Linked DNA regions of Tribolium castaneum. The protein of the gene in region 2 purifies or fractionates together with the protein of the main gene of each other region. This does not show direct contact. Links are inferred from orthologs where the notes say so. Each region holds a gene or a part of one and is shown on either strand. Other genes may lie near its edges.

Region 1 (7,723 bases), on a different chromosome or scaffold from region 2:
AAAAATAGGTACCCTATTGAAACCTTGATTGAAATTGTTTCATATTAAATTCAATTCAGAATTTAACAATAATAAGGTATTGTAGTTCATGAAGCAACTGTTGAATAAAAATCCTTAATCCAAAAAAAACACTATTAAAATTATTGAATTTTTAAGATTCTATGCTTTTCACAGAAAATTTAAAACAACCCGGCGAAATGAGTAACGGATATGCTTGTTAAATAAATATTGTGTTAAAAATTGTCACTCATTAACGTAAAACTACGAAATAAAAATAGCAGACCAGACTAAAAGAATTGTCCCATTTTTTTCTGAAGAAATACTTATAAATTTACAGATGATTTTAAAGTATTAAATTGATTTTTAAACGAAGTTTTCCCTTAATAAAAATTTGAGTAACGTAGATTTCAATAACTGTATTGTTTGTTACATTCTCCCAAACTGTGCTTCGACATTAAAATTCTGTTTTGAGATTCTTCAACAAAGTTAATGTTTACTTACGTCTTTTAGGAACCTGCTGCCACCTATAATCCCACGTCTGCTCGTGCACAGCCTTGAGCGACTTTTCGGCGGCCCTTTCCCCGGAGAAAATCCTAACATCCCACAGCTTAATGCTCTGGTCTTTGCTGTTGGAAATCAAGTGTCTTCCGTCCCCTCTCGAATCGATGAACGTGATCCCGTCCATGTGTCCGGCCAGTTTTCCGACCGGTTTAACCGACGACTCATCCAACGTCCTCCTGTCCCAAACCTTAATCAAACCGTCATCTCCACCGCTGTAAATTATATGGGAAGAATCGTCAGCGAAAGCAACACTATTAACGTCATATTCATGAGCTGGGATCTATATACAAACAGCAAGTCGGAGATTTTTACGCAAGTGTCGCCTTATTCACCTTTAGCGTCCGCCCGCGCCTCTGGAGATCGTAAATGTACAAGGAACCGTCGTTGGCACCGCACAGGAACTCCTTGCCGTCGGACGAGAATACGACGGAAAAGACGCAGAAACGGCGACTGGTGTTGGTGAGAGAGAGGGGCTCCTGGTGGCTGCTCTCGTTCACGGAACATAAATGTACTAGAATTGAACGCAATCACGACTTTTCCCCACAGGGGGAGACTTACAAGACGACGACCAAGTCGAATACACGAACTGGTTCTGGTCGGGACTTATTGCAACGTCTATTATACTCCAACCTATGTCTCTTGCACTCAGAGTATTGAACAGTTTGTAGGACGCATCGTCCGACTTGTATAATCGGATTTGTCGATCTGCAATGTTTCAAACTCATTTCGGGAAAAACAACCAATCTGTTAAACCTTGAGACGCGGTTATGAACATTTTCCCATCTTTCGAGAAAATACCACAAAACACTTTCCCATTGTAAAAAGACAACACCGACATACTATTTGGCAAAAACCTATTGCTTAGTCTACATTTTTCGGCGTATGAAAAGTTCCTATAAGAACACACGCCTTTCTAAAATTGTATTATGACAGTCAGGTCTTTTAAAATTGCCAGATAACTTACTTCTCTATTTAAAACCATATCTGATATATTCTGCGAAGACGTAATTTTTCGGCTTTGTTGTCCTAAACCTGAAGCCATTTTGGTCGACAATGAAAATTCGCTTTTCTAAAATAATAATAAGAAAACAATTAGAAACGTATATTAGATCAGATTTTTGTGTTTATTTTGTTTTCTTCCGTATCATTCAAAATGTTGATAAAAAACGAATGATTAAACAACGTTACTCAGCAATTTTGCAAACCGATGCAAGAGAGCATTGACGAAATGATGTCATTTGCGTGTACACCTATCTGGTAAAATTTCTTCCAAGAATTTCATTAATTCTCCAACAAACAAAGGTATAAACTACCCATTACAATGCAGTTTAAAACAAATAATTAATGATGAAACATGCACTCATACTCCGATATTAACGTAACTCCAAAATTAAAGGCAAAGGACGAAGACTAAAAAAAAAGAATTCAAAGATATTTACACTCAACCATTATTATTTTCGTAAAAAACGACATTCTACATAAATATGAGCTATAATTTTTTCATTTACTCTTTCCATTTCTTTTAAGATATTGAATAACAAAAACTATTATCAAAACTCATTGAAATTTGGTATATGCTTAAGAGTATATGAATTCTACAAGGCTAACTTGATTTTTTTCAATGGCAACAAGGGTCATATTTAATATTTTTAAATAATATTTTTTTCTGAGTTAAAATAGGTAAAAGTTAAAAATAATTGTTAAAATAATTGAAAAAGAACACATTTTAATTAAAAAATATTCAAAATGTTTCCAACAAACTTCTTGGGATTCTGTCGCCATGAGCAACCAACATGAATTTTTTTCCCTCAGTTTTACTTAAATGTACCATTGTTAACCTATTTATTGCACGCAAGTTTAATTTTTGGCTAATATACAAATGTCAGATCGCAAATAACAGTATTTTCAAAGCTACTTTTCCAGAAATCCAGAAATGAATTTTTGAATTTTTATTTTTTTACCTTTTAATAAAAATAAAGGTGGATATTCGTGCCATTAAAAAAAATTAAGTTAGCCTTCTATTTTCAAAATAAATGACGATAGAGATTTAAAAAACCTCTCAAATGATAGAATTTAAACATTTTTAACTGTTTCCCTAATTTCAAGGTTTTCTGTTAAACCGTTCTGAAAATATTTAACTGTATCCATACTTTTTAGCGACCCTGTATAAATGTATTAATAGAGATTTTTGGGAAATAATCTCTTTAAAGAATTAGCTGAAAGCCTCAACTAAAGGAAATGAAAATTTTGAAGCTAACTATTTTTTATTTAAAGGGAAATTAAAACAAAAAAATGTAAAATGTAGTAATGTAGTATACATAAAAAGTTTAGGGGATTTACCGGAGACTAGGTAGTACTCAGTCTGAAAATAAAAATTATAAAATTACTTACATCAAGAATGGAAGTGTTTGGCTTAAATTTAATTTTTGGCACTTTGGGACCATCTGTGAGATAATCTGCGTCCATAATCTCCACTTGACCACTGAAAAAGTTGCACATTTATTACCCCTTTGACCAAAATAATAGGAAAAACGTAACAAACAATGAAAAAAAACCGGGTTTGTTTATGTAATTTGTACACGTTAAATCAATATCGTTCATTGTCGCGGAAAATAAATAATTCAGCCTGAATTTTACACTATATTTAGCAGCAAGTACAATGACATTTTCATGGAAGAATTCTCTCACCTATTTATCAAACTTTGCAGCAAGGCTGCATACTGATGTTCAGTCTCGTAATCAGAATCGTCTTCGGACCCAGATCTCGAGTTCAGATCATTTTCTTCCATTCTCCTCGAAGTGTAAGATCCCATGGAATGTAGGGGTTGAAATTTTCACTCAGGACCGTAACAACACCTCATATATGCACCATAATACGGTCATGTAACGTGGTTACTTAACCGCTTACACAAACACTAAACAAAAATCGGTGGAAAGCACTAATGAAACGCAAAATTTTCCGAAATATTTTGCCAATTAAAAATGACAATATTTTGACAAAATGCGCATCACGTTGACGCAACCACTCAGGATTGCCAAAACATCGCTAATAAATTAAAACTAATCGACTTTCATTTTCACTCTTGAATTATTGCACATATAATACGTTTTGACCCAAAATGAGTGTTACATAATAATTTGGGCTAAAGGAAACTGGTTTCGCCACTTTCTCCCTGCCTTTGGTGACTTAGCGAGCGATTTTGGCACCACTGCGCGATTGTCACGTTGACAGTTGCGTTTTCGTGGAAGTGGAGCAGTGACGTGGATTTTCAATTCTTGGTTAGTTTTCTATTTTTCTATTAATTGATAACATAAACTCGTAAGATTATTACGATTTGCAATGGCACCGTCAAAAATCAATGTAAAAGAGCGCGTTTCTGATGGAGAAATTGACCTTAGCATGTCAGATTTACAAGATGTTCCTGTTAAAGAAATCGTAACGATGTTTCCACCTTAATTATGACATAAAAACGCCCCTTTGCTTTGCAGGCAGTGTTCAAGAAGGCCACCAGCTTGGACCTATCAAACAACCACTTGAAAACTTTGCCAGTAAGCGCCAAATCGTTGCTTCGAAAAGGCACAATTTCGCCATATTTTTGCGTTCCAGGGCAACTTCGCGACACTAACCCACCTAACGAAGCTCGATCTGAGCAAGAACCAGCTGAGCGAGCTACCGGAGGATTTCGGGGATTTGGTCAAGCTTAAGTATCTTGATTTGTACCAAAACCAACTGCAATACCTGCCTCTGAGCTTCCACAAGTTCAAGGCTCTGAAGTGGTTGGATTTGAAAGATAACCCCTTGGTGCCAGCGGTCGCCAAAGTCGCAGGGCCTTGTCTGGACGCCAAACAGTGTCAGAGTTGTGCAAAGGATGTTGTGAGTTTCTTCACTCAAGTGCAGGAGCAGATCGCTAATGATTTAGAAAGTCGGCAAAAGCAACGACAGAAGCAGCTTGAAGTGAATCAGAAACAAATGGATAACAACAAGAAGAGTAAAAAGAAGGAGAAGACCAAACAGAAAAAGGAAAACGGGCCTGTTAAAGAAAACCCGCCAAAGTTAGCGAACAAAAAGAATAAAAAAGCGCCACCTTCGCCGAAGAATACTGGAAAAGCGTCCTCTTTCATTAAATTGATTTTTACGTTATTATTTCTTACTTTGTCGGTTCTGTTTGTGTTAACTTCTGTAAAATATGAACGTACGCGTACTATTGAAAATTCTTGTGTAGACTTGTATTACAAGGCTGTTGATTCTTTGTCTCCTAATTTGAAGGTTTATGCAACCACTGTGGGGAGTTATGTGAGGTTTGCTCATGACAAAACTGGGAATGTTACACTTAATGTTGTGAATTATGTTAAAAATTCCGACAATTTTGTAAATGCATATGATACCTGTAGTAAGTATGTAGATACAATGGTCCAGAAAGTTAAAGAACAGTACAAGAAGATTGTTTCTTGAAAGTTCAGACATTCTTTTTGAATAAAAACTAAAAACCAAACGTTGTTTTATTAATTCAGTAACAAAATAAGTTAAAATTCCATTACCATAACCACAGCCCTAAGAGTTTTTCCAATAATTTTTAAATTTGTAACAAATCTATTCGACGACAAAAATTAATTCAAGTTAAATTACATAACAAAATAAATAACACTTTGCCCGGTTAGTTTGTATAATAAGTAAAAATGCATCTTTTATTTCGTATTTCCATATGGAACAGACCCTTGAGTGGTGAAATAATTTACAGAAGAATCTTCCGTAACTGACAAACTTCTAAATACTAGTGTGATACGAAGAACAAACTGCAAGTTGGGAATAGACGTATCAGGGGAATTTTTCAGGATGTTCGTTGACATTTCAAAGAATTTATAAAAAAAAATGTCCTTTAAACAGTCGTTGACTAGTAATGGCATTAACCCACACGTTTGTTTTTCATTTTTCTGCAATGTTAGAAAATTAAAAAGCACAAACATATCGGTCGCTAAAAGTGCAGAGCGCACAGTTAACTATTTCATTGGGTAACATTTAAATTGGTCTATTAAAAAATCGCTAGTGAGCAGAGGGCTATAAATAGAGCAATAATCAATCCAAATAAGTAGTAAATTTACGTACATTCCACCATCCCAGCAGTGTAAGTTTTTGTTTTATCTTAAATTTACGTTAAAATAACATTTGCATATTGGAGAAGCGTTTTAGAAACATTTGACTTACGATCATCTGCCTCCTTTTTTACCTACTGTTGCAGTCTCAATTTTGTATCACTTGTGTCCCAGCGAATTAGTGAAGTTAATTATGGAACTTTGAATGCTTGTTTTCAAGAATACAGTGTTTCAAAAGTGTTAATTCGTCAGATTTGCTCAATTTTAAAAATAATTTCACATAAAAAACTTTTTAAAAATTTACTAGGTACGATTGTATCTAAAAAAATATAAAATCTTCACTACATTAGAGCTTGTAGTAGTTTCAGGGACTACAAATATTTTTTTGATTTTACAATGAAACTTGAAAAATTAAAATGGAATACCCTTATCCTACTTTCTGCTTTTACAACATATGATAAAAAATATAGAATTGAGATGAAAACCCTAGTTGTTAGATTTTCTTGAAAACACCAAAGTTTCTTTGTTTACGACACAAAATACGTGTACCCGTTAAAGCAATAGTTAAACAAATAATGATTTTGATTAAAATAAAGTTGCTAAAGTTGACTGCAAGACAGATATGTGTCGAAGTACGAATGGACTAATGACAACAAAATTATAAAAACATCAAAAAATAAAAGACGGCACAACTGCAACATTTATCTTAAATTAAGTTCAGTAATTTATATTTTAATAAAACCATTTTTTAGAATATCGTATTATTTAGCTTACCAAAGCAACTCTCCTTCAACAAGACTCAGCAAGTCAACAATGGACAAAGTTTATTCATCTCGATCTTTTTTTTTAATAGTAGTAATCCTGTTAATAAAACAGGACGCAAAAAAATTAACGAAGGTTAACTAAACAAAAATAATGTAACTAGACTAGACAAAGCGATGGGACGTGCATTTTTAAGCTTTAAAGAATTCCACTCCATCCCTGCGTCCTGCACAGATTAGTTAATTTCTTGCCTCTAGCATATGAAACAAACAAGACTCTTACAGATAAGAAAACAATATTATATTTTTGATAACAACCGATCGCTCGTTGAGAACAAGTAGAAAACATTACAACAAACAACAGTGGTTCAAACGGTGCAATCATGGTCCAAACCGTTATCTTCACGTTGTTACTTTCGTGTGGATTACAATTTGCCTCAAGTGCAAAATATGAACCAACTTGGGACAGCCTCGACGGTCGCCCTTTGCCCGACTGGTACGACAAAGCCAAAGTCGGGATTTTCCTCCACTGGGGTGTTTACTCAGTGCCCAGTTTCGGGAGCGAATGGTTTTGGAGTCACTGGGAATGTAGGTACAAACCCCAGTTATAATAACTAAAATTTTTGCTTCCAGCGGGTGACGAAAAAACTGTCGAGTTTATTAAGAAAAACTACCCTCCAGACTGGACTTACCAAGACTTTGCCCAGCAATTTACCGCCGAATTTTACGACCCTTTCATGTGGGTGAACCTCTTTCTCAAATCCGGGGCCAAGTACGTTACACTAACGTACACAAAAAATCTAATGCTTGAATAATTATTAGGTACATAGTGCTAACGAGTAAACACCACGAAGGCTACACCCTGTGGCCGTCGAAATATTCCTACAGTTGGAACGCCAAAGATGTTGGGCCACACCTTGACCTTTTAGGTTGCAAGTTCTAAAAAAATAAAGGGTCTTGAAATTTGATTTGGAATTTTAGGTGAGCTTGCAAAGCGTGTCAAAGCCAGAGGGCTCCATTTCGGAGTTTACCACTCATTGTTCGAATGGTACCACCCTCTGTATCTGCAAGACAAAGCCAATGGCTGGAACAGCTCTAACTTCGTTGACACAAAAATAATCCCGGAAATGAAAGAACTGATCACCACTTACAAACCGGAGGTGCTTTGGTCTGACGGTGAATGGGAAGCCCCTGATACCTACTGGAAATCAAAGGAATTCCTCGCATGGCTTTACAACGAAAGCCCCGTCAAAGACGTTATCGTGGTTAACGACAGATGGGGAAACGACTCGTTGTGCACCCATGGCGGT
Region 2 (8,924 bases):
CAAAAATCAAAAAAGTATCATAATGTGGTTGACATTATCTATCTTGTGAAAACCCGGAGCAGCTCCGTGCAACGGTTCCGACTACAAAGACTTTTTAATTTTTTTTACTGAAAAATTTATATCTCGAAAACTAAATCCATAGAGAAAACGGTTTGTTATAACTCGAAAACTAGAAGTCATAAAGCATAACTGTTTGTTCCAGCGATTTCTACGGTTCGTTTTACGCATTATTACCAGAGTTCTACAAAATTAAAAATTACAAATTTAAAAAAAAAAATTTTTGTACTTATAACGTTTAGAGAGCTTACAAAAAATATTGTACCTAACTTGTTTGTAAAGCATTTTTTCACATTCGCACTTCAAAAAAGGCAACCGCTTCGATTTTTTGTTGTTTGATTTTTCTAATTTTTGGCGAGATTTTGGTCGGTTTTCGGAACATTTATCGGACAATAACTCCGGAACTAGTAGACGTAATAATAACCCATTAAGTTTACTATCGTTGGAAAGCTCTTTTATTTATCTATCTTTGTCAAAAAAGCAAAAAAGATCATTGTTCTGTGACTAACAGTTTTCGAGAAGAATACCTAAAATGATTAAATAATGAATTTTTCGTTTTTTCTAGTGAAGAGGGACTGGTGGCCGCGTCTGAAGTTTCCCATGCGCCCCCAGCGTGTGGAGGTGGAAGGCGCCCAACTCCACGTCCTTGCCCCCGCAACGGGCAACCAAACGTCCCTCCGCGTCCAAGTGACTCAAATTCTGAGTGCGCGACGTCGTCGCGTTATCGAAGAAAAACTGATCCACCTGTCGCCAACTCTGCCAAAATGGTGCGAATTCGAAGTGACAAGTGCAGTGCAATCTTGGCTGAACGGCGAGAGGAACCTAGGTTTAGAGTTAGTTTGCCCCGAGTGTAGAAATAACTACTTGAAGCCGCTGCAAGCCGCTGTTAGTGCTTTAGTGCACCCCGAACACAGACGCTCAAAACGCGCATCCCCTTACCAGTCCCTGCGTCGGACGGACTGCAGGAAGCTGCGGAAGGGGGCCCGGAGGGTCTGCTGCCGGCACGACATGGAAGTGACCTTCTCCAAGCTGCGGTTCATCGAAATGGGGTCCATTGTGCAGCCCAAGTCCTATGACGCGGGGTTCTGCCAGGGACAGTGCCCCCCTAACTTCAACTACGCAACCAACCACTCCCGGATACAGAGTCTCCTGCACCAGATGGAGTGGAAGACAGGGAAGAGGAACCGCAGGGCGGTCCCCAAGGCCTGCTGCGCCCCCTCGAAGCTGGAGCCCCTCGAAATACTGAGGGTTAACCCCAGCGACACCACGAAACTTATCGTGGAGAAATGGGATAATATGCAAGTGGTAGAATGCGCGTGTTCCTAGTACAGACAATGCCAAAGACATTTAGGAAAAATTTACGGGTCAATTTAGCATTTCTGCATCAATTATCAACTCTTAAGTTACTGTGATATTAATTGTATTCTATTTATCGATCATCTCTCAGTTATTTATAATTTCTCATCTAAAGTAGCCTAAAAGTATTATTTTAACTCATCTTTTTATATTTAATTTAATGTTAATGTATTGATGTACTGATGAGTGATGACGTTTACCAGTTTTGCACACTTTAGTTTTATTTCACCCTTCCCTTGACACGAATCGAATTGCCTTTATCACTACTTTCGATTTGTTGTGTTGTAATTCTGATAAGAAAAGCTATAAATAGTGTAACATTTTGCAATGGCGACGAGCCAGGTGAATCAAGAGAAAACTATATTTTTATTTTGTTTACTAAATTTTTCGCATACAAGGGCAGAAACTCAGAACCAAAAAACACAAAAATTAATTCTCTTCGCTTTAACCTTGTTTTTAATTTTTGCAAAAAATAGTCTTCTACTACGGCATCATTTTGCTTTGGAAATTTTAAACCAACAAGCCGCCACTGATAACACTGGTCTGCAAAAAAATAATTTTTCCCTTCTATCCGTAATTATGATTATTATAAATTTCTGAATCAAAAAATAATAACGAAAATTATGTATCACATAAACTTTTTTTGTAATAGATTTTTGTAGAAACCATTGGTCTTACTTGAAAATTTAATGATTGCGACAATCATTTACAACAAACTTTCCAAAATACTTAAAATTATTAAAAAAAAATTCTGTTGTAATTTCTTTCCATTCCACAGTTTTCATTAAAGTTTCAACCAACAAAAATGCTGTCTGACAATCTTCTGGTTATTTCCCGTTGTATTGTCTCTCATTTATCTTGATAAAACATTTCTTCATTTCAACACTTTGTTTTCAATTTTGTTATGTTATTTGTTAAAATCTCAAACTGAGAAAGTAAGTCGTTTGTTAAGGTAGTTTAACTAAAATAAAGCTCTGCTTTCGTGAGAAATTGAAAAACTATAGCATTATAAAGTAAAAACATTAAGAAATTGGAAATCTAAAATTATAAGATAATGAAACCAAGAAGACCTAAAAAATTTAGGAAATTAAGAAACTAAAAAGCTGAAAAATATTGAAAAAAATAAAATTTGTGTGACTGAAATAATAAGAAAGTTTGAGATTGCAAAACTATTAAATTGAAATATCAGATGTTTTTCTACCAAAATGAAATCCTATTTAAATTAGAAAGTTTAAACACAACTTTATAGAAAATAAGTCAATTTAGGAAATCAAGAAAAATAAAATTGTGTCAAATATTGACATTTTTCACGAATCAGAGTTACTTTCAGTTTCAAGAGAAGCCTTAAAAATTACGTGTTATAGAAGTTTCCTAAGATACGGTCTTTATTTATAGGGAGAAAAAAATTTTGGAATATTTTTTTTCAATAAAGTTTTCAGCTTTTTTACCTTCTCATCAACTAAAATCGTTCGGTAGTATAAAAAAGCAAGTAGTATTAGGAATCTGAAATATTTAAAAAAAAGCCGCTCAAATAAATCAATCTGTAGAGGGCAGCACGTCCCGCCCCGAACCGCGCTGTCAGTGTAGAATCCTACATCTGATTTTTTCTAATGTTTATTTATATTTTGTTGTTATAACAAATTTAATTTGTGTTTGACCGCAAAAAACTTTTGTCTCAACTGTATTTTTATTTGCCTACTAGTTTTGTAAAATCATGTTTGAGAAGTGCTGAAGCGTTTGCTTTAAACTGTATAATTTGAGTTTTTCCCTATTTAGGTAAAAAAATAATGATTTGCAATAAAAGTGGGAAAGCCAATGATACATCTTAGGATAATTAACTCCAGGTAAGTGGTGATGATCTGCAAAAATTATATAACATAACCTCACATTATGTAAGCAAGGTAACGATGGTTACTCAACTTTTTTCGAATTAATTTTTCAAAAAAAAAACACTCCATTTTTTTGACTAGTGAATGGTTATGATTATGAAAGTTTGTGGAGGTGGGTAACTGATAAGTGATAATATTTGTCGCCACGATGATAATATTAGAAATATATTTTCTAAATATATATATAACCATACACTAGTCAAAAAAATGGAGTGTTTTTTTTTTGAAAAATTAATTCGAAAAAAGTTGAGTAACCATCGGCTTACATAATATATATTACAGAAATAATATATATATATATATATATTATATATATATATATATATATATATATATATATATATATATATATATATATATATATATATATATATATATATATATATATATATAAACATAAATTTACGTTAAAAATTTATTTAATTTAATAACTTAACTAATTTTCTAATTTAACTATTCCTATGTTGGGGCTCTTAAAATTTAAATATTAATTTAGTTTATATTTAATTGAGTTGCGCCGCTACAGAAACCTGTAATTCAACCAAGGATGGAATAACGGTTCAACTGCAACACACGAGGGGGAACCCTTGTACTGATTTGTGCAAAATATTCTGTGGAAAAAAATAAAACAAAAAAAGGACGGTATTTTGGAACACTCTGTACATCGTTTTTTTAATTTGAATTGACATTTGAAATGTCAGATTGAATTCCTTTATATATATTCTTTTATATTTTCGTTTTTTTTTTTAATTTGAGGCCAATGAGCCAATCAATGCCTAACACAATTTTAAAAATGTAAATGTAAAATGTAGACCCAAAACGACGATCTTTTAAAAATATGGCCTTTTGAAAAAGTGCTACTTAAAAAATGACAAACGCAATAATTATGTTTTTCAGAAAGCAAATTATCTTGATTCCATATTTGTGTTGACCTGTTTTTTTAGCTCAATTTTTAACTTTAGATTTTTTCTTAAAATTGAATGTTCTATCACCTGTTTAAATTTGTAACAATGAAGACGGAACACATTAATTATTATTGTTTTTCTTTTCCATTTGTATGGATTGTATATGTATTGTACTGATTGTATATCAGTTTTATAATTCTTCTCATTTTTTTAGTTTATTTGTATTTCAGGTTTTTAGTTTCTCAGCGTTAATGCTACTTACTTTGAATGTCAGTTTTTGAATGTAACTTTACTTTCTAGGGGGAAATAATAGTTGTATATTAAATTATTTTTTAACGTTGCCTTTTAATTCTGAAGATTCACAAGGACTTACAAAAGCACAACATTATTTTAATGTGGCCATTTTAACAAACGACTTACTTTCTCTCTTTTAAAGTTTAGTAAATAGCATAATAAAATTAGTTAGTGACAAACTAAGACTTACAGTGAGATGAATTCTTACAAAAAAAACTAACGAATTTTACACCAGTAAATTCAAAACAATTTAGGTTCAACGATTATTCTTTATTGCTTTTCTTTGTGCAACAGAAAATTTTAAGTTTTTTCCAAAACATATTTAGTTTTGTTTGCAATAAAAATTGTGTTTTTGGTATTTTTGCTGTAGAAATGAAAAAAAAAATGTATACTAGATTACCATATTTTAACACCTAATTTCTGTTTTTTCGACTTTGTTTGACTTCTAAATAAAGTTTTTAACCTCATAAAAATCCATTTTTTATAAATTTATATCGAATTTATTTTATTACACAAGAATAATAACAACACTCTGTGTCTGTGCAGTTTATAGTTTTTTTGTTGAACAGAGAATGTACATTTATTTATTAATTTTTTTATTTAATTGTGGACAAATGCTTAACTCACTTTAAAAATTGAAATGTAAAACAGGACAATTTTTGAACGATCGAAACTCTAATTAAGTTGTTTAATTATTTTATTGTTTTCACAGTTACTTCAATAGTCATTGAAAAATAGCATTGCATTTGTTGATATAACCTAGTTTTTATTTGTTTATTAATTACTAGCCCAGCCTGCAAATGAACTAAGTTAGATTTAACGAAAACATCGCAGCGGTACTTTTATGATTTTCGATCAACGATCATCCAGAGTGAGAGCCACTTATCAGTTGCAGTTTAAAAATAACCAATCATTCCTAGCCAATTTATCAAATGAGCGACGTTTTATTGAAGGAGTCGTTAATTTTCTATTCGATTATCGAGTCCCAACCCCAGCACTTATAGATGTGATTGATCGGTTTTCAATCTGTAATTCGAAAATGCCGAAATTTCTAATTCAATCAGCCCGTTTTGTAATTTCGAGCATTGTTTGTTACAAGGCGGGAAAAAATCCGATGTTGTTTTAATAAGCGTCCAGATAGTCACGGAGCGTGTCGGGGCAGTTAAGTGGACAGTGGTCATTTTACGCAACCCACCCCCAAATCAACAAAATCGCCCGACATCTGGCCTCTTCACGGATCGTAAACTTAACAATCACGAATTGTTGTCGATTCTAAATCAGATTTTTCCATTCAGAAATGACGTTCGCATATTTATTTTCATTATTGTTTTCGCCTAATGGCGTCAATGCGGCGATTAGTGAACTTTATGAATTCATAACTTAGTGTGAAACCCCAAAGAAAAGGTGCCGATTCGAATTTGAATTTAATTGCGACGATTGAACACTGGACGAACCCTTCTTACTTTACATTTGACACAATTAAAACGCTCGACTCGAACCGAGGGGTCGTTTTTTTGGCATTTTGCATTATTCGATGACATGCTCTTGACATTTGTATTTATTATTCTCTGGATTTAAACGGAACAATATATTTTAATTGCGGGGCACTTTCGAAAATATTAACCACGCTTTAAATGCGAACTTCATTTACATTAAGCAAACACCAAGGCCTGGAGTGAATAATCGACTTTCAAGAGGATGATCGCGTGCCCAGTGGTCAACTGCTCCCTAGGGGACCCTGCCTTTAGACCAACTGGGCCTAACACTAAATCCTTCCCATTTGTAACCAATTCGAACCAAAAATTAATCGCTCTGATTGACTCCCAATCTAATTCATTATATAATTTTATATTATATTATATTATATTATATTATATTATATATAATTTTCGAGCGTTTTAGTACATTTTTCGGTCAAAAACTCATAAATTTGACATACATTTGTTGAAAGTCGAAAATGACATTTTTTTTTTTTATTAGCTGTATCTTGCTTTTGAACGAGGAATTCAATCTTTTGGTCTGATGGGAGGATTTTTGTTAAAACATTCTAAAAAAATGTCCACATTACGTCACTTTTTCGTTTCACCCAAAAATTTAAATGACATTACATTGGCTTTTGTGATTAGATTTGTTTTTTTTAGTAATAATTCACTATGTACCTTCAAAGAGGTGAAAAAAAAATTTTTTAAAGTTAAAAGTCCACAAAAAGTCCATATGTTCGATTTTTTGATGTTTGATTTTTTCAATTTTCGTCGCAGTTTTTGTCGGTTTTGGGTACCCGGAACATTTCTCGAGCAATAGCTCCGGAACTATTAGAGATAACTCCATGAAGTGTATTATCGTTGGAAAGCTCTTTAAATTATCTATTTTTTTCAAAAAAGATTATTGTTCTCTGACTAATAGTTTTCGAGCAAACTGCTGCTAAATGCAAAAATTGGTAAAATTTTAAAAAATTCATAACTAAAAAACTATTGGGAATTTGGCAATTTTCTCGATGCCAATCGATTCCCCGGATCATTTTGCATAGGTATGGATCAAAACAGTTCCACTTTTTAGAATAGTTTAGCCGTAAATGATAAAATAAAAAAAATTAAAAAAAAGTTAACACCCCCCCCCTTAGAAATCGGTCAATTTTAAAGTGTCTCAAAATCAAATAAAACCAATTCTATTTTATAGATTTCGATGTGCTCTTTCCGATCTAAAAAAGCGTTTTCTCCTAGCTCTTTTAGTTTGGCCGTAATCGGCGTTTGAAAATTGAAAAATTTTTTGCGAGATATCGCCTTGAGTCCTATGCCATTTTGTAGAGTTTTTTATTCCGGTTATCCTCCATTTTTCCGTTTCTCGATAACTCTAATAGTTTCGCCGTAATTAGCGATTGAAAATTGAAAAAAAGTGAAAATGGAAACCTTTTTTTGCGTTTTTCTCGGAAACTGTAAGACTTAGAGCAACGAACAAAAAACCATCTGATAGCGCTTAATTTTCTCTATTTTTTCGATTAAACCCGGAGCCGCTCCGGGCAACGGTTCCGGCTACAGAGGCGATCAAAGTTTTTCACTAAAAAAATTCATAAAAAAAAAACTAAAAGTCGTAGAGCATTGCGGTTTGTTCGATTGAATTCTACGGCTCATTTTACATATTATATCAATTTTTCACAAGAATTAAAAATTTAAAATTTTTTGCCTAAATTTAGGGTAGCCATTTGTCATAGTGGAAAATTTTATCCAACAAAAAAATTCATAACTCAAAAACTAAAGGTCGTAGAGCAATGCGGTTTGTTCCATTGAATTCAGCGGCTCATTTTCTGTATTATACGAACTTTTCATGAGATTTAAAAATTTGTTATTTTTTGCTAAAATTTCCTGAGTAATAAAACTTACCTTCAAAGAGGTGAAAAAAAAAAATTTTTTAAACTCACTCCAGTAAATTTTTATGGACTTCTACATGTCTTAACAACCCACAAAAGTTGTTAAAAGTCCACAAAAAGTCCATATGTTCGATTTTTTGATGTTTGATTTTTTCAATTTTCGTCGCAGTTTTTGTCGGTTTTGGGTACCCGGAACATTTCTCGAGCAATAGCTCCGGAACTATTAGAGATAACTCCATGAAGTGTATTATCGTTGGAAAGCTCTTTAAATTATCTATTTTTTTCAAAAAAGATTATTGTTCTCTGACTAATAGTTTTCGAGCAAACTGCTGCTAAATGCAAAAATTGGTAAAATTTTAAAAAATTCATAACTAAAAAACTATTGGGAATTTGGCAATTTTCTCGATGCCAATCGATTCCCCGGATCATTTTGCATAGGTATGGATCAAAACAGTTCCACTTTTTAGAATAGTTTAGCCGTAAATGATAAAATAAAAAAAATTAAAAAAAAGTTAACACCCCCCCCTTAGAAATCGGTCAATTTTAAAGTGTCTCAAAATCAAATAAAACCAATTCTATTTTATAGATTTCGATGTGCTCTTTCCGATCTAAACAAGCGTTTTCTCCTAGCTCTTTTAGTTTGGCCGTAATCGGCGTTTGAAAATTGAAAAATTTTTTGCGAGATATCGCCTTGAGTCCTATGCCATTTTGTAGAGTTTTTTATTCCGGTTATCCTCCATTTTTCCGTTTTTCGATAACTCTAATAGTTTCGCCGTAATTAGCGATTGAAAATTGAAAAAAAGTGAAAATGGAAACCTTTTTTTGCGTTTTTCTCGGAAACTGTAAGACTTAGAGCAACGAACAAAAAACCATCTGATAGCGCTTAATTTTCTCTATTTTTTCGATTAAACCCGGAGCCGCTCCGGGCAACGGTTCCGGCTACAGAGGCGATCAAAGTTTTTCACTAAAAAAATTCATAAAAAAAAAACTAAAAGTCGTAGAGCATTGCGGTTTGTTCGATTGAATTCTACGGCACATTTTACATATTATATCAATTTT

The links.
Region 1: the proteins of Asph (region 2) and leucine-rich repeat-containing protein 59 purify together in Homo sapiens (co-immunoprecipitation; 3 studies listed by BioGRID and IntAct, with this or other methods). This does not show direct contact. The link is inferred for Tribolium castaneum from reciprocal best matches to the Homo sapiens genes ASPH and LRRC59.

Annotation. Positions count from the first base shown.
Region 1 is NC_087394.1:31,263,032-31,270,754, forward strand, and holds leucine-rich repeat-containing protein 59, read left to right. Parts: upstream 1-3,846; 5' UTR 3,847-3,901; coding exon 3,902-3,997; intron 3,998-4,050; coding exon 4,051-4,110; intron 4,111-4,168; coding exon 4,169-5,014; 3' UTR 5,015-5,054; downstream 5,055-7,723. Other genes in the region: DDB1- and CUL4-associated factor 11, read right to left, coding at 502-841, 894-1,072, 1,120-1,266, 1,315-1,474, 1,526-1,630, 2,953-3,043, 3,250-3,374; alpha-L-fucosidase, read left to right, coding at 6,797-7,001, 7,047-7,185, 7,236-7,342, 7,395-7,723.
Region 2 is NC_087403.1:495,505-504,428, reverse strand, and holds the start of Asph (aspartyl/asparaginyl beta-hydroxylase), read left to right. Parts: upstream 1-3,045; 5' UTR 3,046-3,257; intron 3,258-8,924. Other genes in the region: mav (bone morphogenetic protein 7), read left to right, coding at 623-1,383.